Linked DNA regions of Notamacropus eugenii. The protein of the gene in region 1 interacts with the protein of each later gene in a biochemical or structural test. Links are inferred from orthologs where the notes say so. Each region holds a gene or a part of one and is shown in the gene's direction. Other genes may lie near its edges.

The links. The genes of interacting proteins can lie anywhere in the genome.
Region 2: of the proteins of BTRC (region 1) and DEPTOR, one has a biochemical effect on the other in vitro, tested with the Homo sapiens proteins (3 studies listed by BioGRID, with this or other methods). The link is inferred for Notamacropus eugenii from reciprocal best matches to the Homo sapiens genes BTRC and DEPTOR.
Region 3: the proteins of BTRC (region 1) and CDC34 form a complex in vitro, tested with the Homo sapiens proteins (4 studies listed by BioGRID and IntAct, with this or other methods). The link is inferred for Notamacropus eugenii from reciprocal best matches to the Homo sapiens genes BTRC and CDC34.
Region 4: the proteins of BTRC (region 1) and KDR form a complex in vitro, tested with the Homo sapiens proteins (2 studies listed by BioGRID, with this or other methods). The link is inferred for Notamacropus eugenii from reciprocal best matches to the Homo sapiens genes BTRC and KDR.

The regions. Positions count from the first base shown.
Region 1 is NC_092872.1:179,423,724-179,430,739, forward strand, and holds the start of BTRC (F-box/WD repeat-containing protein 1A), read left to right. Parts: upstream 1-3,995; 5' UTR 3,996-5,403; coding exon 5,404-5,413; intron 5,414-7,016. UniProt on the Homo sapiens protein: Substrate recognition component of a SCF (SKP1-CUL1-F-box protein) E3 ubiquitin-protein ligase complex which mediates the ubiquitination and subsequent proteasomal degradation of target proteins. Recognizes and binds to phosphorylated target proteins.
Region 2 is NC_092875.1:125,303,583-125,310,602, reverse strand, and holds the start of DEPTOR (DEP domain-containing mTOR-interacting protein), read left to right. Parts: upstream 1-4,014; 5' UTR 4,015-4,134; coding exon 4,135-4,298; intron 4,299-7,020. UniProt on the Homo sapiens protein: Negative regulator of the mTORC1 and mTORC2 complexes: inhibits the protein kinase activity of MTOR, thereby inactivating both complexes. DEPTOR inhibits mTORC1 and mTORC2 to induce autophagy.
Region 3 is NC_092875.1:69,196,979-69,204,095, forward strand, and holds the start of CDC34 (ubiquitin-conjugating enzyme E2 R1), read left to right. Parts: upstream 1-4,111; 5' UTR 4,112-4,952; coding exon 4,953-5,129; intron 5,130-7,117. UniProt on the Homo sapiens protein: E2 ubiquitin-conjugating enzyme that accepts ubiquitin from an E1 ubiquitin-activating protein, and catalyzes its covalent attachment to other proteins by an E3 ubiquitin-protein ligase complex. In vitro catalyzes 'Lys-48'-linked polyubiquitination.
Region 4 is NC_092877.1:106,551,863-106,559,882, reverse strand, and holds the start of KDR (vascular endothelial growth factor receptor 2), read left to right. Parts: upstream 1-5,014; 5' UTR 5,015-5,432; coding exon 5,433-5,496; intron 5,497-8,020. UniProt on the Homo sapiens protein: Tyrosine-protein kinase that acts as a cell-surface receptor for VEGFA, VEGFC and VEGFD. Plays an essential role in the regulation of angiogenesis, vascular development, vascular permeability, and embryonic hematopoiesis.

The DNA.
Region 1 (7,016 bases):
CTCTGCTACTTCACGAGCCACTGTAGGCTCCACCATATTACTCTATAGTACAATAATTCATGTTCCAAAAGTCCCTGAAAAACCAAATATTAAAAGGGATCTGTGATCTGGTCATCATGGGTTTTCCCTCCAACAACACAAATCACAACTGATCTACCCCTGCCCATCCTATAGGACTTTTGTCCCTGCCCTATGTTTGCCATGGCTGGGGTTGGGGATGGGGTGGAGGTGTGAGGACAGGCTCAGCTATACCCAACCTGCTACAATTTGACATCACAAAGATACCAGTGGAACTCAAGGGCTGTCTATCACTTATCCCCACTTATAATATAACTAACTCAGCTTTTCTTTGGTGACCCTTTACTTGTGGTATCTGGCAGCCATGTTTATCCCTCATATGCCTCTTCAGGTTATTTTCAGTTTCAGTTCTTTGGCAGAGTAATGTTCTATGGTTTTCAAACATACATCAGTACATACATCAGTTTAATATTGGTATTAAAAAGATGAACTTATGTTCCAGGGAGAAGTTGTAGGGCAGAACATAGACAAGGAACTAGAGAATAGACTTTGGTCTCTAAACGGGTAAATTTGATGCCTAAACGATACTCCCTCAGAGAAGTGCTTGATCACAAAGAGAGCAGCAAATGTGGGCAAGAATGGAGTGGCAAGAACTCAGGCTAAGGTCTCTGGAGAAAATGTCAAATACCTCAAAAGTATTATGTGCTGCTATCTACTTCTCTCACTTTTCACCCCCTTGGAGTTGGTATTTGCCCAATCATTCCATAAAAATTGCTTTCTCATATATTTTCCTTTGGATGCATAATCAGTTAAACCAATGATTTTTTCTGTGGATTTTCTGTTCTGCCCTGCCATATTTGACTTTATTGCAAGGCCAACATTTTGTCAGTTTCTTATTTGCTTATTATTCTGCCTGCTTGACTTAGCCTTATTCCACAAGTAAAGGGGATGTCTCATATCTCTCTCTATTCCAAGGCACACTGTTGTTTGGCACGTCCGCTGGAAGAAAGTACACTTTGGGGGCTGCTAAATAAGCAATCCCTTTTCCATCAGTCCTGCGTGGTACAAATAACTCATTGGTTTTACTCTCCAAGTAGAATGCTATTCAGGTAAGTGGGTAATACTCTTTTTTTCCCTCTAAGAGTACAGTTTTAGGAAATGCCCTAAGCACTGAGTCCTAAATTAAAATTTTGAGAACTCTTATTCTTTGGCTAGAAAGTTAGATTTTGAAATTACATAGTCAGTCTGGAGAATTCCTTCCTTTCTTCCACTTTCACCTGCCACACAGGGGCCTAGGGTTGATGAACATTGTCCATGAACTGCACTTTTGTTTTGAGTAAGCACACTAGTCTGCTTTTACCCTGTGCTTCTACAGAAAATCTATCAGTATGCTGATTGCTGTCACCTTGGGTTGAGAATCTTGCCTTTCAGGATCTCTTCTTTCCAGCTACCAGCAAGAATATACAACTTGTCTCTTTCCCAAGACAGTCATTTTTAGTTCCTGGATACATACAGAAAATAGTTTTCCTCCCCCTAGGACTATATCTGTACACTAACCTATTTCTAGATGGGAGAAAAAGAATGCCTGAAAGAGTGAGCTGTTGGGTCTGTCAGTTCTTTTTTTTTTTTTTAAATTATTATTGTTATTATTTGTCCGTAGATTCTGGAGGGGCCCAATGACATCACAGGGTGATGACCTGACTGGTACTTTAATTGGATTTAAGTGAGGCAGAACTGATAGAGGACAAAGACCAGAAGCTTCTTCTACAAAAATTAGTCTTTTTACATTCCAGATGGCCAATCATCTTGGCAGCAGCTTTAGGTACTGGGTCTAGTTCTGAGTCCCTTAAGTAAGGTACTAGTGGGTATGCCTACATTCTCCATGGAGAGGTTCTACTAAGAGTCCTCTAAAGGCTCATGCCTTGAAATTTTATCAAGTTGTTGAGTTGGGGAAACGTCCAGTGGATCAGTGACTATTAATCACCTCACCCCACATACTCATGCTTTAATTCACCTATTTTGTAAATTTATACATCAATATGCCTGTAAATATTAATCAATATCTATATGTCCTGTCAGTGTTAGGCCTGGGTTTGCTTCAGGTGGAATTATTTTGTTTTAGGGTAGAACCAAATTCCAAAATGAAGCTTTTCCAGAATTAAAAACCACATTCAACACTAGCTAGCCCCCCCAAAAAATTCCTGTAACTCTGACTTCCTGTAATTTACCTATTTCCACCACATAGATATTTCACAAGCTTGGCTTTGGGCCAGAACTGTAAGCTTTGAGAGGTCATGAGTCAGGTCTGGTCTCCCAGAACTAGAAGGCTAGTTCCCATGGCAAGATCTTGTCTAATTTCGGGAACAGAGGCCTGAATTTTGCAGGCAAGATGATGAGTTCTGGACAAGGAGTGGGAAAGGCCTTAGGCAGGTAGACCAAGGGATGTCAAAGCACTCAGCAGCCTGCTCACAAGCTGAGTTCCAGTGGATAGCAATCCTTTGGATACAGGACAGATCTATGAGGTTTGGGGAGTATCTAGCCCCCCTAAACCTCAGTTCGCAGGGTTCTGGTAAAACCTTTCTCTGTGTCTGTGATTAACCCCTTGCTGCTAGGTAAAAGTGACATGGTCGCCATCTTGTGAACAAATCCCAAGTCAGACTCCCTAAGCTTCTCACAGTAACCAAGGTGACAGTGCACTTCCGCTACCCAGAAACTGAAAAACTACATTTCCCATGAGTCCCTTTTCCAACTCCAGGTAGGTGGACTTCCTCGGACCAATTCTCGTAGGGAAATAGCAGAGCTGGCCTAGCGCAGGGATTGGCGGGTGTCTCAGTTCCCTTCGTTGCCCCGCCCTATACTGCTTTCAGGCCGAGAACTACATATCCCGTGAGCCCGCGGGCCCGCGCTTGCGCGCGGCTGAGCCGGTTCTCCCTTGCCCCCCTGCCGGCGCCGGGAGAGGTAGGGAGAGGGCGGGGGGAAGGAAGAGGAGGCGGGATCCGGGAGCTGCGCTGGCTGCGGCCTGGCACGAAGGGGGCGGCCCTGGCGGAGCAGTGAGACCCAGCGGCCCCCGGTGACTATGGACCCGGCCGAGGCGGTGCTGCAGGAGAAGGCGCTCAAGTTTATGGTGAGGAGAAGGCGCGGGCCGGGGAGCAGCGGCGTTGGCGGCGGCGGCGGGAGTAGCAGCCGCGTCGTTCTTGGCTGCGGCTTGGGCCTGGGCCGCTTGTCTGGAGAGGGGGACAGCGAGTTTGGGGTCCGGGGGCGGCGGCGGCCGCGGGGGCGGCGGAGGCCGGAAGGGTCCGGGCAGGCTGGGAGCTGGGGGCCTGGGCCCGGGGGGTCGGGAGTAGCAGCTCCGCCATCTTGTGGAGGAGAGTCCCAGTGACAGCGGGGTCCCGACGGAGGGGGGCTGCCCGTGGCGCGCGGGGCGACGGAGGGGAAGGACAGAGCGGGCCAGTTCCTGGGGAAATGGAAGGTTGCGGAGGCGAGGGCGGGCGGGGGCCGTTGTCTGTCCCGCCGCGCGGGCGGCTCTCGGCCGCTGCGGGGGCGGACAGGTATTTGGGGGCCGAGTGCGGGAAGGGCCGGACGCAGTGGGGCTGCGGGGAGGAAGCCGGGCTCCCGGGGCTGGGGCGAGAGGCCACTAGAGACGAGGGCACCGGGACTGGGGAGGCCTGAGCCAGCCTAAGAGGAGACGAGGGGACGAGCAAGATTCTCCTACTTTGGAACGGACGGGGGGTTAATATTGTAACAGAACAAGTTGATGGTCTCCAAGTATTGACCAGAACAAGGTCAGGGGCAGGGGAAGAGTTTAGAGGCCACTAAGGTTAGGGGCAAATGCCTACTCGTGGGAGGAAAGGCAAGGAAGGTTAAGGCAGTCTCGGAAAGGACTGGGTCGTGGAGAGTCTCCCTAAGTGTCGCCGAGTGAATTAGTGACATGGGAGTGCGGGAGTGGAGAGGGGTTGGGAGACACTGAAGAGAAAGCAGTGGGACGGTGGAATGGGAAAAGTGATGCTAGATCTCTGTACTCATTAGAGAGTGTGAGATATTGTTACATTTTTCTGTAACTTTGTATCATGCTATACTTGTGTTTTGCTAGTGTCTGGTCAGTTTTGAGTAAGTTTAGCATTTGAGGCTTTTAATCTGATTGCCCTTGGCTTTCCCACATACAAAACTTCAGTGATGTCATCAGACTCTGTAGTTACTGCTAGCGAGTGATAATGAAAAAGAATACACATAGACTTTATCTGAGTTTACCAGTTGGTCTTTAGGAAATCAATACTATTTGCATAAGTTTCCAATTTCTTCAGAGTTGAATTTGGAATAATGACAGCCCCTAACCCCATTCTTTGAATGAATGGTTGGTATTTCCAGTGTTGCCTGGAATACAGTAACAACTGCAAACTAAAATAGCTACTGAGTTAATATTAGGTCAAAACAATCTAGATGTTTTGTTTCCAAGAATGAATTCTAAGTGATTTGTATCATTTGGTGGAAGTTCATTTGATGGGAATTAATGTTTTTACGGACCAGAATTAAAAATTTATTAAGAATATAGAAATCAGTTGTTTGAAGTGTCTCTTTGAATTGCTACCCAAAGTTTGAATACTGTATCAGGTATAAAAATCTTTGATTTAGGAGGTAGCATAGGGTAGTGAAAAGAACATTGTATTTACAGTTAGAGGATGTGGAAGTCCTGGCTCTTCTAACTTACTACCTGTTTGACTTTGGGCAATCTTGACCTCAGTTTTCCCATCTGTTTACAGAGAAAGGGTTGGACTAGAATGAACTCCCAGCCCACTTTTGATTCTAAATCTATGAGCCTATGATGCTTTATTTTTATTTTACAAGGCAGGAATTATTCATATACACATATGGACAGCTTCTAGTCTTTAAAGATGGTAGTCACTTAGTTTCTATTTTCTCCTTAGAGGATAGAATTTTTCTATCAACTTAAGACATTTTTACCAGATTTATGGAATAATATAATTTACAGATCACAAACACATATTATGAGATCATCTACTTTAGGCAGCAGTGCAAGAACATTCTTTACTACTTGGTCTCAGTTCTATACCAAGGAGTTACTTATGTTTGAGTTGTGCCACCTGAGTTAAATTAAACTTATAAATCTGAACTAGATTGACCATATCTTACTTTATACCTGTCAGAGTACCTTATAATATTAAGATTGAGTCACTTCCTATAGGGATAATAAAGCTCTATAGACAAGGACTCAGCTTCTGATGCCTTTCTTTTGGCACTACCAGCCATAGCTTTTGTCTGAAAGGAAGCCCAAGTAGTCACCAAGAGAGAAAACAGAGACATATTTTAAATGCTAGAGCAGAGGACTGAGATCTAGATATTTAGTGTTCCAGTTGAACAGTCTTTTACATGAATTTGGGTAAGTCAACTCTTTGACCTCATTTCCCTATTTATGAGATCTTTGTTTACTTGTGTTAACTTTTGAGGTCTTTTAATGACTCTGTGTTTACAAAATCTTGAAGAATGTGAGTATACTAGATATGAACTTAATCACCAATGTTCTGCTTACTAGAATTAGAGGAATCATTCCATAGGAGAGTTATTAAAAGACCTTACTTTAAATTCTTGCTCTGTTATGTACTGTGGAATGGTGGGCTAGAGCTTTGAGCCTCACTGACTTTGTAAAATAGAGAACTAGACTAAATCTCTAAGGTGTCTTCCAGCTCAGAAATCCTATAGTTTCTGTGGTTTCACTTTAACTTTGAGTGATGTGCAGTGCTTGGCAAAAAGTAGGTGCTTAATAAATACTTGTTGGCTTGAGGGGAGGGCAATTTTAGCACAGATGAAAGACAATTTCACACTATGTTAGCTAAGAAATTTGTTACCCCAAAAGAACTCAAATACAAATAGATTCAAGAAATGTTTAGATAAATTTATGGGTGATCTATAACATTATTTAGAATGCATTAGTAAATGTTTGGAGGACACTTGTAACCTTGTGAAGTTAAGACCAAGAATGATAACCACTTTATTCCACAAAACATCTCTGATGGCCCCATCAGAATGTTGGTTTGGGTCTATTTGGGGCATTATTTGAATTCAGTCAGACTGTTCTTATTCTTCCTTGTTATCTCCTGCATGGTGCTTATTTACGTCGACCAACTCAGCTGACTGAAGGATGTTCATAGACATTGACAGGGATAGGGGCTAGCATTTACATAGTACTTTAAAACTTGCCGAGTGCTTTACAAACATCATCTGATCTAATTCTCGTTACAGTCCTGGGGGATGGTGTAGTGCTATTATTATTTCTGTTTTACAGGTGAAGAAACTGACCCAGACAAGTGTTAAGTGCCTTGTTTAGGATTACACAACTAGTAAGGATCTGAAGCTAGATTTGAATTTGGGTCTTCCTGACTCTAAGTCCAACACTCTATCCACAGAGCTGCCTAGTAGTCTCAAATACTCTTCCCTGGGTAATCAGTACGCAAAAAGAACCTCTTTTTAACTAAAATTTATTTACAATATCTAGGGTTATTCTCTCCTCCTTCATTCCTTTCCTCAAGTTATGAATTATTTCAGACCACTTTTGCACAGATTTTGTAGTTTGCGTATTTTAATAGTTAAATTTTTCCCCCCAAATAAAAATGAAATTGGTATTTTTGTACAAACTTTAAACTATGAACATAGTTTAGAGAAGATTAATTACAGTAAAACTTTATCTGTACTCCTGATTTTATATTGGTTGTGCTTTATCTGAGATCTAGGCTAAGGTTTAACTTTGCTCCCTTTATGTAAGAGGGTTTGCCAGAGATGAATAATGTAAAGTTAACCTACTTAAGGAAACATTATTTTAAAGCACGTTAGAAGTACTAGATTATACCAAACTAATAATGATTTTATTAGGAGTCATTATTTATTGATCACAGCAGATTCCCCAGGTACTTTTGCCCACAATTTGTTAGGGGGGAAAAAGATCCCTCACAGAAATATATAAGGAGGCTAGAAAAGATACAAAGAAG
Region 2 (7,020 bases), on another chromosome or scaffold:
TTCTGCTACTACCTGTGTGATCTCAGGCAAGTCATTTGTTGACTCTGAGTCTCACTTTCATGATTTGTAAAATGATAGGGTTAGTTCTGGTGTTTTTTTTAAGTCTCTTGTAGCTGGATAGTCTATGATTCAATCAGCTAATTAATAAGTATTTATTAAGTACCTATAATATGTTAAGCACTCAAAATACAAAGACAAAACATGAAGCCATTCTGAAGCCTGTTCTCTAGGCTTGTACATTCTACATATTTATGACGTTTCGGAACATGAGAGCTGTATGCATTCCCATTCCCGTCTCCTAGTCTTTGTTTACCTGTGCTTCAACTAATTAACATTTTATTTCTAGGTCCATCTAGTATGAAATTCCAGAATAGAGTCCTGCCTAGAGATTTTTAAGATATGGTTCTATAGTCATGTATCTTGCATGCTTAAGTAAATATTTCTAACTGGTTTTCAAAATGAAATAATGTGGTCCAGAGAATTTCTGGGGACTGATAATATTCCTCTCACCTTTTGCCTGGATATCTAGTCTGCAGCTATCAGGCCAGGAGGTAACTTCGGGGTGACCTGGCAACTGCTGAAGATTCAAGGGGAAAAGAAGCCAGCACTAAAGTCCTTGGCACTTTATCAGTGGAAATGAAAATGAAGAAAATGCTTTGCCACCTATATTGTCCCTATACCCTCCAGACCATAGGTTCTTTCCTCATAGGTGACTTGTAGGTGACTTCTGTATATGTTGCATTCCCCATTTGAAAGGAGCTTCTTGAAAGTAGTCTTTTCTGTTTGTATTCCCAGAGTGCTTTGGACCCAGTAATTATTTAACAAATGCCTTTTCATTCCTTCATTCATTCTATAAACTTTCAACATGAATACTCTGAATAATCAAAAAACAGGAGCAGTACAGAAAGAACTTAAGACAATCACACCTTCCAAATTAGGAATAATCATTTAAACTTCAAAGTTGCCTGAGATTAGTTTGCACAGAATTCATTCATTCTTAAGTGGAACTTACAAGTAGTCTGTTGTATGAATGTGCTCCAATTTCAAAAGCTTGCTATGTATGTCTTTCTGAGGACCACTGATTAGACATAGTTCTTGAACCAAGGAAGTCAGAGATAGTTTTGTTGTAGGATCTAGCATGCAAAGAATAGTTTCATAGCTCTTTGAGCTAAAAGGAGCTTTAAGAATTCATCAACTCCTTGTCTTTATATACATAAATACAATATATAATATTGTGTGTACATTCAAAATGTACATTTGAAAGAGACAACCAGTTTACAGGATGAAGCAATTTGTCTTATCTTTCACTGTGTCGGAGCTTTGACTAAAACCTAGATCTCCTCAGCTCCTGCTGTGTATGAAGCACTACGCAAGGCATGATGGGAAAGTCGATAGATATAAAGTCAAATAAGACATTATCCTTTCCCTACTGGAACTGATTGAATAGAGAAGATAAGTACAGCAAATAGGATCCCTCTTTTTCTTCAAGACACTATTCTAGAGCTGCCTTCTAGTCAAAGCCTTTCTTGGTCCTGAAATGTTAGTGTCCTTTCTTCCTAAGTCAATTGCATTTAATTATGTTGCATTTTTTATAATACACATTCTTTCATTCTTTATATTTGAATTCCCAGCATCTAGCACAATGCCTGGTGCCTAGCAGAAGCCCTATAAATATTTGTTAAATGTGTGATTAACTGAAGATAAAACCTATATATGTAGAAATCAAATCAAGAGACATTTAGCATTGTGTCTAGACTGCTGTGCTAGATACATGGGGAGATGCAAAGTTTAGAATAGACATGTTCCCTGTTCACATGGATCCTAGTGTGTGAATTTTTGAAAATCTGATGTGAGAAATCTCTCCATTTATGGCAGTCTCAGGAGATTGGTCACCAGGAGTTGTCTGAGGCACAGGGATGATAAGCAACTCATTGTTTCCCAAACAGTTTCAGAGATGGGATATTAACTCACATTTTCATGCTACAAGTCCAATAGTCTAGTTTGGGACCTGACTACAGTACAAAATAAGAGCTATGTAAAAGTCTAGAAATTCATAGGAATATCTGCAAAGCAGATGGAAAACTTTGTCTGGAACAGCCTGAAGACTAGCTACTCCCAGAGTTGAAGAGGGGTAGAAGAGGCTGAATTGCCTTGGGAAAAACTGTAAAGCCCCTTTTCAGAAACTAAGCTTCCCATGAAAGCAAAGGTCCATTTTCTTAATGCTAACATTCTACTGGTATTGATATTTGGCAGCAAGATCTGGAATACAATGGTCTTCAAAGTATTAAAAATGAAGATCATACAGAGGAAAATGGAAAGGCATATGGTAGGGGTGAGCAGGCTGCAACATGTAACCAAAGAAGACCTCCAAAGAAGAACAAAGGAACTGTACAACAGGCAGAGAAAAGGGGCCAATCATGTGGTAAGAATGAAAATGATATATGAGGAGCTAGAGTGATATATAGGAGCTAGAGTGCTCCTCTGGTATCCTCACAATGTCAGATGAGATTTTGAGAAAGGTCTCCAGCATGTTGGGTGGACCCCTTGTGTAGGAATTACAGGAGGACATGATAAAAGTTACACAGGATGGGCTGCAGGGAATTTCTGAATTGATGAAATAACATCCACTTGGGCATTTGGCTATCTGTAAATACTAGATACCAGACTTAGTTGTTTCTATTTGCTGAAGAAACAGAAGTGTCATCAGCACTCTGTCTATTTTAGTGCCATGGAGGGGAAGACCCAGGTTGCCCTATCCTGGCTTGGGGAACCTGCAGCCTAGAGACTACATGTGGCCCTCTAGGTCTTCAAGTGTGATTTACTGACTACATCCAAACTTCACAGAACAAATCCCCTTAATAAAAGGATTTGTTCTATAAAACCTGGATTCAGTCAAAAGGCCACACCCAAGGACCTAAAAGGCCACATGTGGCCTCCAGGCTGCAAGTTTCCCACCCATGCATATCATGTATAGCTCTGACTCGGACTTGAGAGAAATAAGGAGAGACAGCCTGGAATGGCTGAAAGACCATTGGCTTTGGAGTCAAAAGACCTAAGTTCAAATCCCCCTCACTATAAGTGTGACCTTTGGCAAATCATTTAGGTTGATTATACCGTGGTTCATGAAGAAACCAAGGCTGAGATTTAGCCAGGTTCACACAGCTGGTAAGGATCTGAACAGATAATTAAACCTGTCTTCCTCATTTTAAAATGCAACCCTCCTTCCATTTTAATACATTATCCTGTTTCCTCATCTGTGAAATGAGGTGTTGCACTGCAATGAAGGTTCTTAACTTTTTGTGTGTGTCATATAGATCCCCTTAGCAGTTTGATGAAACTCATGGACTCCTCAGAATGTTTTTAATACATAAAATGCAATACACATGTTTAAAAGGAAAACAATTTTTTTTGAAATACAGATTGTATAAATATACATATATAAATACTTTTATATATTAATATATACATATATGTGTATATATGTATATATTAATAGGTCTCAGACTTCAAGTTTAGGAACCCCTGGAATAGAGGAAGACTTTTAGAAGGACATGAATTCTGCAATATGCATAGGAAGATTGCCTTTTTAGTTTCTACCAGACTTGCAATGGCATGAATAATGTCCTCTCTCTGTCCAGTCCAGTTTATTACTAAGCCAGTAGGACATTTCTCCTACCCTTTCCTAATTTAGGTTAACAACGGTAATAAACAACAGCGATGTTAACAATGTCTGACCGTTTGGACACTCAGTCCAAACAACTAATGACCCACACGAAGGGCCACCCAGCTAGAGCTCTGGAGAGAAACCTCGGGGCCACGAGTCTACAGCCACTTCTTGGCCACAAGCTGCCCTCAAGTTCCCTACTGGACACCGGCCTCGTGTTTATGTTTTCCCTCTGGTCCCGCCCAGAAGGGCCACGCGGGCCCTGACCACCCCCACAGCGCCGCCCCCTGGTCTGCGGCCCCACCCTTTCTCCGCAGGGAGGGAGGGATTCACTGAGCTCTCCCCAATCACACACGAGTCCCGAGGTTGCCCCCAACAGAGATGGCGGCTGGGGCTTCTGTAAGGGCTGGCTGATTCTTAACACCCGGGCGAGCCTACAGCGGGGAGAGAAGAGTGAGCAGCTCGCGAGGATGGAGGAGGAGGGCGGCAGTAGCAGCGGCACGGGCACGGGCACGGGCACCGGCACGGGCTCGGGCACAGGCGGCACTGGCGGCGGTGGCACGGTCAGCGGAGGCTTGCAGCAAAGGGAGCTGGAGCACATGGCAGAGATCCTGGTCACCGGGGAGCAGCTACGGTAAGGGACAGTGGCTGCGATGCTCTAGGCGGCTGCTGCTCCGCGCCTGGCTCCCCTGCCCAAGCCCCGCGCTCTGCACTGCGCTGCGCTGCGCTGCGCTGCGGCTGCTCTGCCTGGGCTCGCCCGGCTCCGGCTCCGGCTCCGGCTCCGGCTCCGGCTCCGACCCGGCGTGCTGCGGGCTCACGGGGCGGTGGCTGCCGCCGCTGGTTCCCCGTTTTTCTCTCCGCGGCTCAGGCTGGAGGCGCAGAGAGCTCCCGGCGTTCCTCTTTCCCAGCCAGACCCGGCAAGGCTGCTTTTCCTCGGACTGGATTTGACAGCTGTTGCGGATTCGCGCGGCTGGCAAAGGCCGAGGGGCCGAGAGGGCTAGCTCTTTCGGGGCCGGGGTGCGGGTCCACACACCCTCTCCATATCCCCATATTCCCCAGCAGCTTCCCTGCCAGGGCGGGGCGGATCTGATCGAGCTCTTCTATATGAGGTTTCCTCTCGGTTTTCCGTAGCTGCTGAGACTGGGGAGAAGAAAGCATGGCAGGCAGCCCAGAAGTGGTGCCGGGGTTCTCGCTGCCAACCCGAGCGTCGTGGGTCGGGCAGAGCTGCCGGTTCTCCCCTCGCCCCCTCCAACCCCCACCCCCTATTCCTTCCAGTTCTGCAGCAAGAATAGGAGGATCTCCCGGGCCTGACATGCAGAGAGGGTAGGGATACAAAGAGATTCCACTAGAGATTCACCTAACATGAACGTTGGAAAGGACCTGAAAGAAAATCTAGTCCAATCATCTGGTTTTACAGATGAGGAAACGGAGGCACGAAGTGTGCCCAAGCTAATTAGTTGAATAGCTAGGGACTAGAATGCACGTTGCACCTTACCTGACTGCCACTGCACTGTTCCTTTCCTTCGTCTTGCCTAATTAAAGCTTCTTTTCTGCCTTTCCCCCAAGTCTCAGAGACACAAGAGTTTTTATTTAGAATGGTCTGCTCATTGTAAGAGAGTTTTTAAAATGGAGCTCGGCAGTGGCCGTATGTCGGCTCTCGTGACCATCCCCTTAGACAATCAATTTAGTATAGGGACAAGATTAGAGATACTGGTTGGAAGTGTGTGCACCTGCTCCTTCGAATACTTCTGTGACGTTTGTAGTGAATTTTAATTCCTGGTGAGGTGTTTCAAGATTGAATGAATAAAGAGTATTTCAAGGAACTCCGTGCCTCGCAGTTGGCCTTGGTTGCAGAAGTGAGCCAAGGACACTGGAAGTCAGCGTCAGAGCTGATTGACTTTTTTAAAGAAAAGCTTTGATTTGACTTTAGAGCTAAAAAGTAATTTGCACATTTCTATCCATCGTGGTTTCGTGTCATTCTTCCTCCAGATCAGAAATTGTTTTATGTTTTGTTTTTGTCTATAGGGTGGATAGCACAGTGCTTGCCACATAGTGGCTCTTAATAAATCCTTGTTGATTGGTTAAGAGAATAAGTGCCTTCTCCTTGATCTAAAAAAACAGATCATATAGAGCTGGAAGAGACCTTAAAGATCATCTGGTCTACTCATCATTTTCCAGCCGAGGAAACCAAGGTTAAGTGACTCATCCAAGGAAACAAAGTTAGCAAATGACAGAGCAATTTTAGTATAGTGTCCCAAAAGTTTTAGTGAAATTTGGAGGGCAAAGACCTTCTGGCTCCATGCACTTTCTAGTCTTCTGTTATCTTATATCCTCCAGATACATTTGGATCGATGATAGTGGTCTCCTTGCTGTTCCTACAAGAAGACTCCATACCCAGAATCTAGGCATGTTCACTGCCTGTCCCCCTTATCTAGAATTCTCTCCCTCCTCATCTCCTGCCTCCTGGCTTCCCTCTGTGCATTTAAATGCCAGCTAAAATCACACCATTTCCATAAGAAGACTCTATCAGTCAACCTTAGTTCTAGTGCCTTCCCTCTGTACATTATCTCCAGTTTATTCTGTTTATAGCTTATTTGTACATAGCTATTTTCAGGTAATCTCCTCCCATTAGATTGTGAACTCCTTGAGAGCAGGCTTTACTTTGTATATAGCTCTTAGCACAGTGCATGGTGCAAAGTTGATGCTTAATAAATGGTTATTAGCTTTCAAGCTTTAATCATTTAAAATTATACTAAGACTTTTAGGATATTATATACAGTACTTTTAAAAGCCTTCTCAGTGCATCTCAGCAAGTGTTCAGTTTTATCTATTTTCTGCTTGCTGCAAAATACATGCCTTTTTAAATTTCGTTTTGAACTTGAATGTTTAGAATCTAATTTCTAATTTGCTTAGGAATCTCCTATGTTGTTGTAATGTTCAGTTTTAGAAGAAGCATGTACATTTAAAATAAGACATCACAGTAGGTCTATTTCTTAGTTCTTATTTTAAAGTTTAAGTCCTAAGGTATGATCTATTAATTTCTTTGACTTTTAGATCAAGTACTCTTTTTTCTGAATAACTAGATAGATTTTTCCTTACAAAGTTGTTCTTTTGAAAAAATAAGGGAATAAAAATGGTCAGTTTCTGGTTGGTTGGCTGACATTGGGAAAGAAATATAAATCAAGTTAAATCAATGTTTCCTTCTCTCTCTAAGCCTCATTTCTACCACAGTAAGGGGTTAAGTGGAGTAAAGTTTGAAAAAGCACTATCTTACTGCAGTATAAATATTTAAAAGTGTTTATCAGTATCTGTTGATATGCACAGTGTAATATGTGTTAAGATTGATGGCACAGGTA
Region 3 (7,117 bases), on another chromosome or scaffold:
TTAAGATATTTTTATTACTCTTTTTAGTACTTTCCCCACTTAGTAGTATTTTATTTCTTCCAATTACATGTAAAGATGGTTTTCAACATCACTTTCATAAGATTTTGAGTTCCAAATTTTTTTCTTCTTCCTCTCTCCTCTCCACTCCCTAAGGCAATGAGCAATCTGATAGAGGTATGACCGTATTAAACACATTTCCATGTTAGATATATTGTGAAAGAAGAATCAGAACAAAAAGGAAAATCCAAAAGAAAGAAAAAATTTAAAAAGGGAGAGAATAGTCTGCATTCAGACTCCAGAGTTCTTTCTCTGGATGTCGGTAGCATTTTCCATCAAGAGTCTTTTGGAATTGTCTTAGATCAGTATGTTGCTGAGAAGAGTGAAGTCTATCAAACGTGGTCATCACACGATGTTGCTATGACTGTGTACAACGTTCTCCAGGTTCTGCTCACTTCACTCAGCATCCGTTCTTGTAAGTCTTTCCAGAATTTTCTGAAATCTACCTGCTCACCATTTCTTATGGAACAGTAGTATTCCATTACCTTCGTATACCACAATTTGTTCAGCCATTTCTCAATTCATGGATATCCCCTGAACTTTCAATTTTTTGCCACAACGAAAAGGGCTGCTATAAATATTTTGGTCCATATGGGTCCTTTTCCCTTTACAATCTCCCTTATTTTTAACTATCCCCTATATTGGGTGACACAGAGCTGTGGCCCAACCAGCTCCTGCCTCTATCCAGAGCTACATTCCTGCATGCTTTAACTACATCTTGCACAGCTCTGCCTTCTTACTGGCCCCTTCAATCATTGTCTAAAATCCAAATTCAGCTCTTCCTCCTAACGTGCTTATTTCTATTCCAGCCACTGCATTCACCCAAGCTTGCCCCCTCTTTCTTCTTCTTCTTCACATCTCATCCATCACCAAGTCCTGCTGATTCCAAACCCTCAACACTTCTCCTCTCAAAAGACAATGTGACATAGTAGCTGGAGTGCTAGACTTGGGAGTCAGAAAGATCTGAGTTCAAATTCTGCCTCTTGACACTTACTACCTGTGTGACCTTAGGCCAGCCATTTAACTTTGCTGAGTTTCAGTTTCCTTCTCTATAAAATAAGGATAACTTGCAATACAGGCTTCATGGACTATCTTGAGGACCAATTGAAATAATGCATGGAAGGGGCTAGATCATCATAGGTTATTAGAGCACTGGACCTTGAGGCAAGAAGACCGGAGTTCAAATTTGAGCTCAATTAGGTGTGACTCTGGGCAAGTTACATCACCTCTGTCTGCTTCAGTTTCCTCATCTGTAAAATGGACAGCTAGGTAGTGAACAGTAGACATTGTATTGGGTCTAGAATCAGGAAGACTCATCTTCCTGAGTTCAAATCCAGCCTCAGACACTCACTAGCTGTGTGACCCTGGACAAGTCACTTAACCCTGTTTGCCTCAGTTTCCTCCTCTGTAAAATGAGCTGAAGAAGGAAATGGCAAACCACTCCAGTATCTCTGCCAGGAAAACCCCAAATGGGGTCATGAAGAGTCAGAAAAACTGAGGATAAAAATAGTACCTACCTTACAGAATTGTTATGAGGATGAAATGAATTGTTGTGAGATCAAATGTCTCTTTTAGAAATATTATTTTTAACATTCATTTAAACAATTTTTAAAAATTCCAAATTCTTTCCTTCCCTCCCATCCCTCCCCACCCATTGAGAAATAAGATAATATTTTTAAAGTGCCTAGCATAGTGCCTGGTACATAGTATGCATTTTATAAATACCCTTCTCCTCATCCTCTCTCATTATGAACTACTGGCCTCCCTGCTTCTGATCTCTGTCCCTCCAAGTCATTCTTCATAGATCCAGAAATATTTTCTCAAAACATGTCCCTCTTCTATTCAGACACCTTCAATAGCTCCCAACTGCCTTATTAAAAACAAACAAACAAACAATAAAAAAAACCCATCTACCCAACTTATCTTCCCCTGCCTCCCTCTGAGGAATCTTCCTGTTCCAGTCAGACTGGTTTATTACCAGCCTCTAAAACACGCTGTCCACCTCTAGACAATCTCCCCTTCCTCTTTCTCAGAATGTTCCTCCACTGCCTTCCCACATGCTCAACCTATCCAAATCCCTCTAGGCCCAGCTGAAAACCACCTCCTTTGCTGAGCCTTCCTTGATTTCCCCCTTCCTGAACTCCTACACCACCACCAAGTTCATCTTCCAGTGAATCATATCCGGCTTTGTGACAATTCCTCCCTTCTTGTCTTGAGGTTATTTACCTCTTGCCCTCTCACGTAATCTTACCATGTTCATGTGCAAGGTGCCGAGGCTGTAAGTTTCCAAGGGCAGGAGAAAGATGATTCATCAGTCACCTCTTGTCTCTGTTTTGTCTTTCCCCCTATACTGGCCAGGTACTGAATCTCAGAATCTCAGCTGGAAGGCACCAACTAGTTTAACTCAGGCAGAAGCATTAATTCTCTCTCTAGCAAACCCAGTAAGGCCTCTTCCAGCCTTTGCTTGAAGACCCCCAAGGAGGGAGGATCATCCCCTCTTTCTTTTGGATAAAAGAGTTTGTTGCATTTATTTGCAGAACCAAGGGTGTTCAGGATGGAAGGGACCTTAGAAACCAACTACCTCATTTTACAGAAGAGGAAACAATAATTGTCATTTGTACAGGCCATTAAGGTGGACATATTTCTACGTATTATATGATCCTTTAGATAACCCTGTGAGATAAGTACTATGGATTTCATTATCCCTATTTCACAGACTGAGACTCAGAAAAGTTTAGTCCCTTGGACAACCACGGTGATACAACTCATTGGCAAGTGGGGTTCCAATCCAAGTCTCTGCTGATTCTAAGGCTTGTGTCCTCTCCACACCCAGACCATGCTGATCTGAGGCCCAAAGGGAGGAAGGGACCCACAAACAGTGGCTTCATTCCCTCTGCCTGAATGCACTGCGCTAGGGCAGAGGGACGGCTTGTTTATTTTGCCACATGTAGTGGGTATTACCAGCCTGTCTTGGCTGACCCGCTCTGAAGACCTGTTTTGGCAGTGCTGGCATCTCCCCCGTTCAAGGGGGCATAAAAATAAAATGAAAGGGAGTTCACACTGCAGTGCATGAGACCTCATCAGTGCTACAGCAAAGGCCCTTTTACACTGGGGGAAGCACTGATGACTGATACTTTATAGAGAGAGGGGTCATCAGCACTGGAGCGAAGTCCTCAGCAGTGGGTCAACAGGCACCAAGGACAAGAATGCTTGGGCACAGCCCCGCCCCCCCTCCCCTGCACGCATCCTTCCGGATGTGTGTCCCAGCCCAGAAACCAAGGGCACCCTGGCACGTCCTCCTCGAGCGAGCGCCCGCTGCCAAAGCAAACAGCCCCATTCCAATTGCACGCCTGCTACGTGCCGGGCAGGCCCCGCGCTGGGCAGCCCGAGACAACAGCACAAAAGCCTGTCCTCCAGCAGCCTCGGGCGCCCGAGTCACCGCACGGAATCGCGCGTGCGTGCGTCCCGCGTGCGGGCTGCGGGGCATGCTTCTCAGCTGGGCCGGAGGGCTGGAGGAGGGTGGCTCGTCCTCACCCCAGCCCAGTCCTTAACCAGGCTCAGCCTTCGGGCGGAGGCTGGCGGGGACCTAGACCTAGCCTGGGCTCGGTCTGAACCGGGACCCCCTACTGCGCGCGTGCAGCACCGCGCGGCTTCTCTGGAAGCCTCTTAGGGACGGGGAGCTCTCTACTGGCGGGGGCCACCCCCCCCTCCCACCACTACTCCTCCCCCCCGGACCCCCTCCCCGGCCCGCCCCCGGCCCTGGCAGGTCTGCTGCCTCGAGAGCCGACCTCCAGGGCCAAGCTGGACTCGGCGGCTGCCTCAAGCCTTGCAAAATCTCCAGCCCCGGCCTTCTCCTCTCCCGGACAAACACGCCCTGTTCCTTCATAATAAATTCTTTAAAAAAAAAAGTTTGTTGGGTCGGATGGGCCCAGGGTCCGGCCCAGCTGAGCTGACCCGCTTCCCTGTGCCCCGTCCCTACTCGCCTACTACCCGAGCCCCGCCCTCACCAATTCAGGTGAGGGGGTGAAGGACGTCACAAAAAAAACACAAAACAAAACAAAACAACAAACCCAACCACACGGGCCGCCACGGGCTCCAACGCCTACCCATCCCAGCAGCCCCCCGTCCCTGCGTTCCCCCCCCAGCAGAGGTGTCTGGGGGTTGTAGTCCCGGCTGGGGCGGCTGCGGCCTCGGCCTGGGGGCGAAACCCAATCGCGGCTGAGGCGCGCTTGCGCGCTCGGCCCCCCTCTCCTCTCCCCCTAGGATAGGCCGGTCGGGAGGGGGGGGAACGGGCTCGCGGTAGCCGACGGGGTGGCGCAGGCGCAGGCGCAGGCGCAGGCGCGGGCAGAAATAGTCAGGAGAGCAGGAGGGCTAGACAGGCAGAGCGGGAGGGCGGGCAGGCAGACAGGCGGGCAGCCCGGCGCAGGCGCCCCGCCGCCGGCGGGCCGGAGCGGACCACAGTTCCCGGCGTGCCCCGCGCGGGCAGCGGCCTGAAGACAAGGGGAAGGGGAAGTAGAAGAAGGAGGAGGCGGCGGCTGAGGGCGGGCTGAAGGGAGGGCGAGGCAGGGGGAGGAGAAGGCGGAGCGGGGGGCCGGGCTGGGCTGGGCTGGGGGGGGAGCGGGGATCCAGAACGAGTGGAGCGCTCGGGGGTTCAGGGCTCGGAGGCGGCGGCTCCCGGCAGTGGCGGCGGCGGCTCCTCCTCCCCCCCTGCCCAGAGAGTTCGGCCCGGCCCGTCACGCGAGTCCGGGGCGGCCGTGCGGCCTAGTTCCCCCGACGCGGCCCAGCCCGGCCCCTCGACCTCGGCCCCCGCCGCCGCCGCCACCGCTGCCGCCGCCTCCCTGACTCCCGCTGCTGCCGCTGCCGCTGCCGCTGCCACTGCCTCCGCCTCCTGCGCCATGGCCCGGCCGCTGGTGCCCAGCTCGCAGAAGGCGCTGCTCCTGGAGCTCAAGGGGCTGCAGGAGGAGCCGGTCGAGGGCTTCCGGGTGACCCTGGTGGACGAGGGCGACCTGTACAACTGGGAGGTGGCCATCTTCGGGCCCCCCAACACCTACTACGAGGGCGGCTACTTCAAGGTAAGGCAGGGAGCAGCCCGACTTCTTACATGGGAGCCAGGCCCCGGAGAACCCGGCCACCCCGTGGGGTTCCTTTGCCTCCCCCCCACGCCGTGGTAGGTTCCCCAGCTCTGCCCCCCGTGCCATGCTAGATTCCCCATCGATTACCCCCACCCCCCCGATTCCTCATCTATTATCCTGCCCCATGATAGACTCCCCATCTCTTACCCCTCCCATGGTAGATTCCCCAGTCTATTACCCTTCTCCCAGATTCTCCATCTCTTATCCCACCTCCATGGTAAGTTCCCCCATCTTTTGTCCTCCCCCGTAATAGATTCTCCATCTCTTTCCCCGCATATGGTAAGGTTCCCCCATCTCCCCCCACCATGGTAGATTCTCCATCTCTTGCCCCCTTCCTCATGGTAGGTTTCCCCATGTATTACCTTCCACAGTAGATTCTCACATCTGTTACCCCCAAGGAAGATTCCCCGTCTCTTATTCTCCCCCATAGTAGATTCTCTATCTCCCCACCAGGTGGGTTCCCCCATCTCTTACCACCACTCCTCATGATAGATTTCCCCATCTCTTATCCCCTCCTTTGTAGATTTCCCATTTCACCCAATGGCAGGTTCTTCTGCCTTTTTACCCTGTCCCTATATATATATATATAGTTTCCCACCTTCTTTTACACACACCACACATGATGATTGGTTCCCATTCTTTTTTATTTTATCCTCCTATGGTAGATTCTTAGCATTTCTTTCCTGTGAAGGGTTGATTAAACCTCCCTTCTCTATTTATACATATATGTTTATATACATATACATACATACATACATATATACAAGATAGATTATCTTCTCTTTTGTGTTTATGGAGACTGGATTCTATAACACACTTGCAGACACAGGCAAGGTAGATTCTTTTTCTCCCTTTCCCCCCTCCCACACACATGCAGGCCAAATCTTTCCCATATATATGAACACACAAAGAATAAATTCTCACACATTTACACGTGTGTATATATAGCACATTCTCACATGACAGTCTACATATACGTACTACTGTAGAGACACACGTGCCTACTCCATGATAGATTCTCCTGTCTCTTTCACAAGCATTGTAATAGATTTTCACATCTTATTCATGTTCACACAAAAGAAGATTCTCCCACAAAAGAAAGATGATAGTCTCCCATCTATACACACACTCAATAGATTTTTCCCAGATATACATAGGCCCTCATGTACATGGTATTCTCCAACATACACAAGATAGATTTTCTATCCACCCAGGTGATTGATTCTCCCTAGACACAACAACACACATACGTACCTGATAGAATCCACATATATACAACATAAACAATTATGTTATGTGTCTACCTTTCCCTTATAATATGTTCTTTTGTATATGTTAGTCTCACATACATACATGCTAGATTCTCCATACATGCAATATATTTTCATCTTTATCTCATATATAGAATAGATTTCTACATGCACACACATGATAGATTCTCATTTCTTATACACGCATGCATGATCTCTCATCTCTTACACAAGCACACAATAGATTGTCTTATCTCTTTCACACTTGCATGATATTTTCCCTTACATGCACATACAGAATAGATTCTCCCATCTCTTACACACATGCATGATAGATCTCCCATCTTATATGCACACAGGATGGATTCTCTCATCTCTTACACACATGCACACACAGGCAAGATAGATACTTCCATCTTTTACATACAAACACACCAGCAATTTCATCATTTCTTACACATAGCACATGTACACAGAGAATAGGTTGTCCTATGTATTATATACAAAGACTAGATTTTTCCAGCATTTATATGTCCTAGAATTCCTCTATCTTTTACATACACCCATATATACACATGGTTCCCCTCTCTCTTAGACGCACATCACACTAAGTTCCCCTGTCTCGTATAGAAACACACTACATTCCCTTATTTTATTCACATGCACACACTCCTCATG
Region 4 (8,020 bases), on another chromosome or scaffold:
TGAAAATCCTGTGATAAGTTTTTAATTTTTAAAAAATGACTAAAAGATGAGGAGTGGTAAAATAGACTAACAGAAATCATATTAGAATAATGCTTCATGTCAGTGATCCTAGAAAGCTTGGATGGCATCTGATTTTTAAGTAAGTAAGCCTGAATATTTAGTTTCTGGTTGTGAATATATCACTTTCCACAATAGAATTTAAGTTCCTGGAGGCCAGGGACTGTTACATTTTTGTCTTTGTATCCTAAGTATATAAATTATAAATATATGCTGAACTATAAACTATGTGCTAAGCTATAAGCTATATGCTATAAACGAGGCATGCAATAAATACTTGTTGGTCGAATCCAAAATAATGATGATGAAAACAGAACTGAATATGAGGGAGAGTAATCAGGGTCCAATATACTCTAAGGACTATGTCTTTGTTGGCTTGTTTCAGAAGTGTCCGACTCTTCGTGACTATCTGGGATTTTCTTGGCAAAGATGCTATATTGGTTTGCCATTTCCTTCTCCAGCTCATTTTACAGAAGAGAAAATGGAGGCAAACAGGGTTAAGTGACTTGCCCCGGGTCATATATTTAGTAAGTGTCTGAGGCTGGATTCGAACTCAGGTCTTTCTGACTCCGGGTCTGGCACTCTATCCACTGCATCATTTAGCTAGGCGCTTTCCATCTGATTTGTAGCTGAAATATCTTCTATGTGTTGTCTTCCCCATTAGAACAGGAGTGAGTTTCTTGAAAGCAGGAACTGACTTGCTTTTCAGTTAGTATTCCCTATGCTTAGACCAATGCCTTGTCTATACTGAGTGCTTAGTCAATGCTGTTTCCAAACATTCAGTTCTTCAATGTTAAGGTTATTGTCTGAGTTGTTCTCTTGATGCTGCCTATTTTACTCTATATTAGTTAATGGAAGATTTTCCAAGTTAGTCTAAATTCTTTATATTCATTATTTCTTGATGAAATAACATTCCATTCCATTTACAATTTGTTCAACCGTTCTTCTAATGATGGGCATCCATTTTATTTCCATTTTTTTTTGGAACAACAAAAAGTGCTGCTATAAAAAAATAACTATTGAACTTTTACCTCCTTTGTAAAGGAGTAGCCAGTAGTGGTCTCACTGTGTCAAAGGGTACATACAGTTTAATAACTTTTCTAGCATAGTTCCAAATTGTTTTCCACAATGTTAAACCAGTTGACAATTCCAGCATTTACTACTTTCATCAGTTATCTTTGCTAAGCTGATAGGTGTAGCTTGACCCTTAGCATTGCTTCCATTTGAATTTCCCTTATTACTAGCGATTTGGAACATCTTTCTATGTACTGATAGCTTGCATTTCTTCTTTTCAAAATTGCTTGTTCACTGTACCTAAGATCGAAGGAAGAAGAAAAGGACCAATGCATATAAAAATATTGTAGCACCTTTTAATGTAGTAGCAAAGAACTGGAAACTAAAGAGATATCCACCTGGTACACAAGTTATGTACGTGAATGTAATAGACTACCTTTGTGCCGTAAGAAATGACAAAATGGGCAATTTCAGAAGCATCTTGGAAGATCTCTATGAACTGATGCAGAATGAAGTTAGCAGAACCAAGAGAACAACTCATACAATGACAACAATGTTTTTAAAAAATAATTCCTAAAGATTTGAGAACTCTGATGAAGTCCAGAGGACTAAAACTGAAATAAGCTACCTGCCTTTTGAGAGAGAGGTCATACACTTAAAATGTAGAATGAGACATACATTTTTGGGTGTGACCAATGTGAGAATGCATTTTGCTGAACTCTGCCTATTTGTTATAATAATTTTTTGCTTTTATTGGAAGGAGAGATAATAAATGCTTGTAATAATAATTTATTTTTAAAAAAGAAAGTTGCCTGTTCATATCCTTTGTCTACTCACCTATTAGGAAATGCCTCTTTTTACAGTATATTTCCATTGGTTCTCTACGTATCATATATCAGACCTTTAAGAATTTCTACAAGGGTTTCCCCTAGTCAACAGCATCTCTTCTTATTCTAGCTACATTGATTTATTATGTAAAGGGTTCTCAATTTTATATAATCAAAATGGTCTATTAGTTTTTTAAGATCATGTCTATTTTCTGGTTAAGAATTTGCCCCCTAACCAGAGTTGTGGAAAACATCTCCTTCCATTCTCAAAATTTGTTTATAGTTTATATGAAATTTATGAAACATATATAACATATGTTACATGTAATTTATACAAAACATATTTTAATCACTTATCCTCCATTTGGATCCAATGCCTTTCTGCTCCAATAAGCCCTCTTTCACATAACAAAAGGTGAGACTGCATGTGCAGTAGCATGGAGGAATGGATGCATTGTAGAAATGAACCATCTCCATCATGATCAATTCATATTTTCAGCAAGTGTCACTTGAGGTCAATGGTTAACCATTTGAAGTATATGTGCCATTGTTATTACGCTCTATTACAACAGTGCATTAAATAAGGACAGAAAAGTAGAAAAATCAAAGTTTGACAAGATAACATTTTTTTTCAGACTTTTTCAAAGTGGTGAAAACTGGGCATTTTAAAGTGATATGGGACACTGGGTATGGCAGAACAACTTCAGTGTGATCCCTGGCATTTCTGGCCTTGCTATCATTGGAGTCATTATTTCATCTTTTTTCAAAATGGCTATTTTCATGAGACTGAAGTTTCTGGTTTATATGCAAAGGAGCTGACTTCTTTGACTGGACAAAAATGGTGGAGAGCAACAGCATGGTGTGAACTTCTGGGGTCCTGGCCTGGAAGTTAGTAGACCTATATCTACTCAGTTTTGTCATAACTTGCTGTGTGACTTTGGGCAAATTATTTAGCGAATCTCTCCCAGCCTGTTTATTCATCCCTAAAGTGGAAGAGGAATGGTTAGCCTAGACTAGTGTTCCCCAGATAGTGAACCGTGGCCCCTTGGGGACCAAGGAATTATTGCAAGAAGTCTCTGTGTCCCTATAAGAGCATACAGACCATCAGAACGAGCGCAGAATATTTCTCACATGTATGTACTATTCGTTTTCAAATGTCACCACTGACCTAAACCACCCCAAAGGTTTCTTTAAGTTTTCAAATTCTATCAGTCTTTGATTGGCATGTGGTGGAAAGGGAGAGAATAACTAGGACCAGGAGGTGAGAATTATTTAGGAGATAGGGAAAGCATCTCCCAGGGCCATGTCCACCTAGTTCTTCCTTCATCTGACTCATCATCTATCGGTTTTAATTTCATAAATTTTATTTAGGGTAGGTGTGTGTGTGTGTGTGTGTGTGTGTGTGTGTGTGTGTGTGTTGGGATGGGGCAAGGTAATAGTTTTATCTTTAAGGAAAACTTTTTAAAAATAAAAATGATTCATTCATTTTTAAAAAGAGGTGCCTCAGGCATCGGGCCAGCCAAATGGAGGGTTGAATAAATATCAGGAAATAATCAGGTAAGAAGACCTCTTCCCCCTTTCTTTACCTCATTTCTTACAATGCCACTGTCTGATTAATTCAGGCAAAGATGGGATGAAGAGTCTTGGGGGGGAGGGATAGGATCTAAATCATGAGGTTAATTGCAATTCTTTAAAGTGTTAGGATTTGTATTGTTCTACTTATAGTATGATGAAGTTTCTGTATGCTTCCCCAGTATCTTGTAGGCACTCTCGCTGATGAAAAAAAAAATAAAACGCCTACATCTTCCAAGGAGGCAAGGAACTTGGGAATTTGCCAGATTCTGTAACTGAGCTCAGCGTAAGCTCGATGTGATTCCTGAGTTATGAAGGAAACTGGATAAAAATCAAGGACAGCAAGAAGGGAACTGGAACAAAAAGAAATGTGTTCAAAGATCCTTTTCTGCCCCTCCCACCTAAAACACCCTTGTGCCCCAGAAAGGTAGGAAAGATAGGAGGCTCACAGACTGAATCAAATCACTATTTCCAAATCTGGGTTCAGTCGCAAAGTGGACAGCAAGTAGGTGAGATGGATTCAGAGAAGACCAGAACCCTGAACCACGCAAATACTGGAGATGCTAGGAAAGCATTTTGGGCATAGTTGGTTCTATAGAAACTTCAAGTTTCTAACGATGCCTGGCAGAGGGGGTGGCATCCCAGAAATGGGCATTTCTAAGAACTGAGGTGCCTTCATCCAAGGCAGGATCCCCCTGCTCATTATTGTAGGATGAAGGCTCTCATATAATGGGAACTTGATTTGAGTTGCAGCCACAATCTTAGTTATGGTTGAGCTAGGTGGGCATCCTCCCCTCTCTAGCCCCAGTCACAGAGATGCTCCTTTGCTAGGATGCCTCCTGTGCCTGTATGAGTTTGGAAGTCCTCCCTTACTGTATTTAAATGTCTCTCTTGGAATGAATTTACCCTCCCAGTCTAGGCAGAGACTATCCTTCTCCAGATTTCTCTTGGCTTCCCTAACCTCATAGGAACAGTAGTTAGGACTCACATAGGGAAGATTGCCAAGGGATTCTAGGTGTTAATTCACAACTTATGGAAACCACTCAGACCATCTCACCCGGTGCCTATCACCTCAGTGTCTCCAAGAGGGAGAGGCAGCCAAAGGAATCCCCAGGGACTCCAGATCCAATGCCTTATACATTAAGAAAAAATAATGAAAACATTTAAAACCTGAGGGAATTTTAGATTAGCTAGTCCATCATCCTCATTTTAGCTTTGAAACCAAGAGGAGAAGGGCTTTGCTAGGAGTCACACAGGTAAATAGCCAGACTCTCCAACTCTTAAGTCAGGGCACTTTCCCCTATGCCCCTGCTTCATCTGTTGGTTAGTGCAACGGGGACACCTTTTGGAGGCCAAAGCAGGGATCAGAGACTGGAAAATGTACTCTGCATTGGGCCTATCCGAAAGCACGGAGTTATCTGGGACCGGTCTCCATTAGGTCCAGTTAAATCTTAGCCTGGGCTAGGTAGAGGAACAAGGCGTGGGAATGGGCGGGACGGGGCGGGTCTGGCCAACTGTAAAGGACAGCTCCGCCCCAAGTGCTCACAAGAGGAGTTGGTGGAGGGGCTGACCCAGCACAGATTCCCGGGCAGGCCCCCAGGAACGCAAAGCTGGGTCAGGCCGGTCCATTCCCTCTCTCTACTTCTTCCATCACTCGTACTCCTTCGCGAACCCAGAATCCTTCCCTGAGTCAGATCAAGTTCTCTGGGGGGCCAAGGAGTCTTCACTCTAAGTGAGCAGTGCTTTCCTCTGGCGCCAGTGAGGGGCACCAGCCCGGGCACAAGCCGGAGGCATCTGCACCCGGCGCCTTCGCCCTCCCTCCCGCCCTGACTGGCAGCTCCTGGTACTGGAGGCGGGGGAGTGGCTCCCATCGAGCCAGTAACCGGGAAAGAAAGCCCCCAGGACAGGAGCCGGCGCTGGAGCATCTGGATGCTGGAGCCTGCGTCCTGCCAGAGCTAAAGAATGGAAAGCGCCCGAATGCTTCTGGTCCTCTTGTGGCTCATTGGGAAAAGCCTGCTGGTTTCAGGTAAGGAACCCTGGGCACGCGGGAGTCAGTCTGGAGGGAAAAGCCGGGGGCTAGGCCAGCGAATGGGGGCCTCTTAAGAAGGCGAGAGAAAACCAAGTCAAAACCAATCTTGCCTTTTGCTGTCGCAGAATCGAGAAGCTAAGGTTTCATCTGGTCAAAACCTGGCGCCCGGAAAGGATTAAGAGGTGGCAGGGGGACGCACAGCCTGGCAAACAAGCCCAGAGCTGGAAGGGGCCTTGGGGCTCGTCAACTAACAATAATACCTGGCCTTTATTTAGCGCTTCGAAGTTTTCAAAGTACTATATATCTATCTATATATATATCTTCTCATTTGAGTCTCCTAACAGTCATGTGAGGAGGTAAGTGCTACTCATTTTACAAACAGAAAGGCTCAGAGAGATTACCTGGCTAAGCTATGGTCACAGTGCTAGCTAATGTCAGAACAGTAATTCTAACCCAGGTCTTCCAGATTACAAATTATAATGATGCCACTCTGTCTCCAATCTACTCCAACCAAACCCTGTATTTTATAAGTAAGGAAACTGAGGCCCAGAACAGGGAAGTCATTTGCCCTGGGAAGCACAGCTAGGAAGGAAGTAGCGGATCTGGGATGCTTATCTGACTCCCAGTCCACTGCTGCAGTCAGGTACTTAAGAGACGCCTAAGACCAAAGACAGGTAGGGTCGGAGGGTGGGGGGTGGTGTGCGAGGGATAGGTACGTCTCAACACTCAGGTTCTGGACTGCAGGCATAGTCACTAACAGTTGCGGGAAACTTTCCAGAAGAGCCATTGGGCCTCGGAAAGCGGGACAGAAATCTATTTGAGGAGTCCCAGCCTGCCTCGCAACCCCACCCCCTCACGCCCCGGGACGTTTGAGGAAGCAGGATCTTTTCTCCTGGCTGCCGTGGGGTCTTTGCTGCGAGAAGGAGCCCTGGTCCTTTGCTGGAGGAGCGGGGAGACTGCGGGAACTTCTGGGCAACGCAGAACCTCGGGCAGCCTCCTTGGGCACGGGCATCTCCAGCTACTCTCCCCTTCTATGCGGACTTTGCACTTGCAAAGCATTTATCGCTTTGTCAAAGCGCCGCCTCTCCAAGGCTTAGATCCCTTTGTTTGAAGTATGAACCCGAAAATCGGCCCCACAGGAATAGGCACCTTCCATGCCAGTTGCCCCTTCTTGGCTCCTAAACCGCATTTTCCGCAAGATTAAGATTACATAGAAGCTCGAGGCTTTAACCTCCTTTGGGGCTCTCACAGACACACACGCTGGGAATGTTGTTTTCCCTGCAGCCACACTTTATCGATTTCTAGAAAGTAAAAAGGTACTTCTGTGTTTACATTGAGGCAAAGGGATCCAGACAGCTGAAGCAATTATCTAGATAATTCCTGCAACTGGGGAGTTTGGGGGGGGGGGGGAAGTATTTTTTTTATTTTTCAAAGAAAAGATTCCTCTCCCTTAATTATCCAGATTGTCTGTCTACATTGATTGCATTTACCTTGTAATTATTGGGCTCTTCAAGCCTGAGAACTAGGTCAAATGGCTCTGTGTGTTGCTAAGGCACCCTCACTCCTCACTCCCCCCAACCCATTATATTTAGCTTCCAGGTCTAGGGTCCAGAAAATGTATGGGGTGTTTGGATTCCAGAAAGAAGTGAATCTCTTTAAAACCGGAGGAAAAAACTTAGCTCTTCACGAAGGGGCCCTTCTCAGTGATGGGAGCCACCTTGCCCTCCAAACAGTAGGGAGGGAGCTTTTGGGGAGGATTTGATTCCAATAGTAGCATTGGTTCATAATTGTTGCCTTCAATTTCTTCACACAGAAGCACTATTGTCTTTCCTTCTGAGTTGGAGCAGGGAAGGGTAACAGAAGGATTAATTAATTAACATTGCTTATAAGCTTTGCAAATAGAAGCAGCTTTGAGTAATGATACGAGCATTTCTTATTCTAGAATTTGTCTTGAAAATGTAAATATATAACCAATGATCTCCGAAATGACTGCCTATTGTAACAGAGACAAGAATTTACATTAATTAAATTATTATGTTAATAAGCGAAATCTCTATATTGTATTTGGTAGCAATGAAGTTGTCGAATGAGAAAGATAACCTAGACTCAACTGCTGTTTTTTTCTTGGATTAATTACTTTTGAGTTGTATTTATCTCTTTTTATTTTCCAGCACTGCCTAGGTGATTTCTACATGGGCAGTAGTTTGCAATGATATGGAATAACTTTGATCAACTGAGTTTATCTTTGGTGTTTTTCTTTCTTTCTTTCTTCCTTTCTTTCTTTCTTTCTTTCTTTCTTCCTTTCTTTCTTTCTTTCTTTCTTTCTTTCTTTCTTTCTTTTTTCTTTTTTTTTGATGCCCTTTCCCTCCTCCCCCCCTCCCCACTTTCATTACCTTGCTCCAAAATGTGCACCTATAGAATGGATTGCTTTTCATATCAAAGTACTCATTTCAAAAGGCCAATTTTTGTTTCTCAACCTAATGAGGTTTTTCTAAAAAATGTTTTATGGATTTTTTTTTCA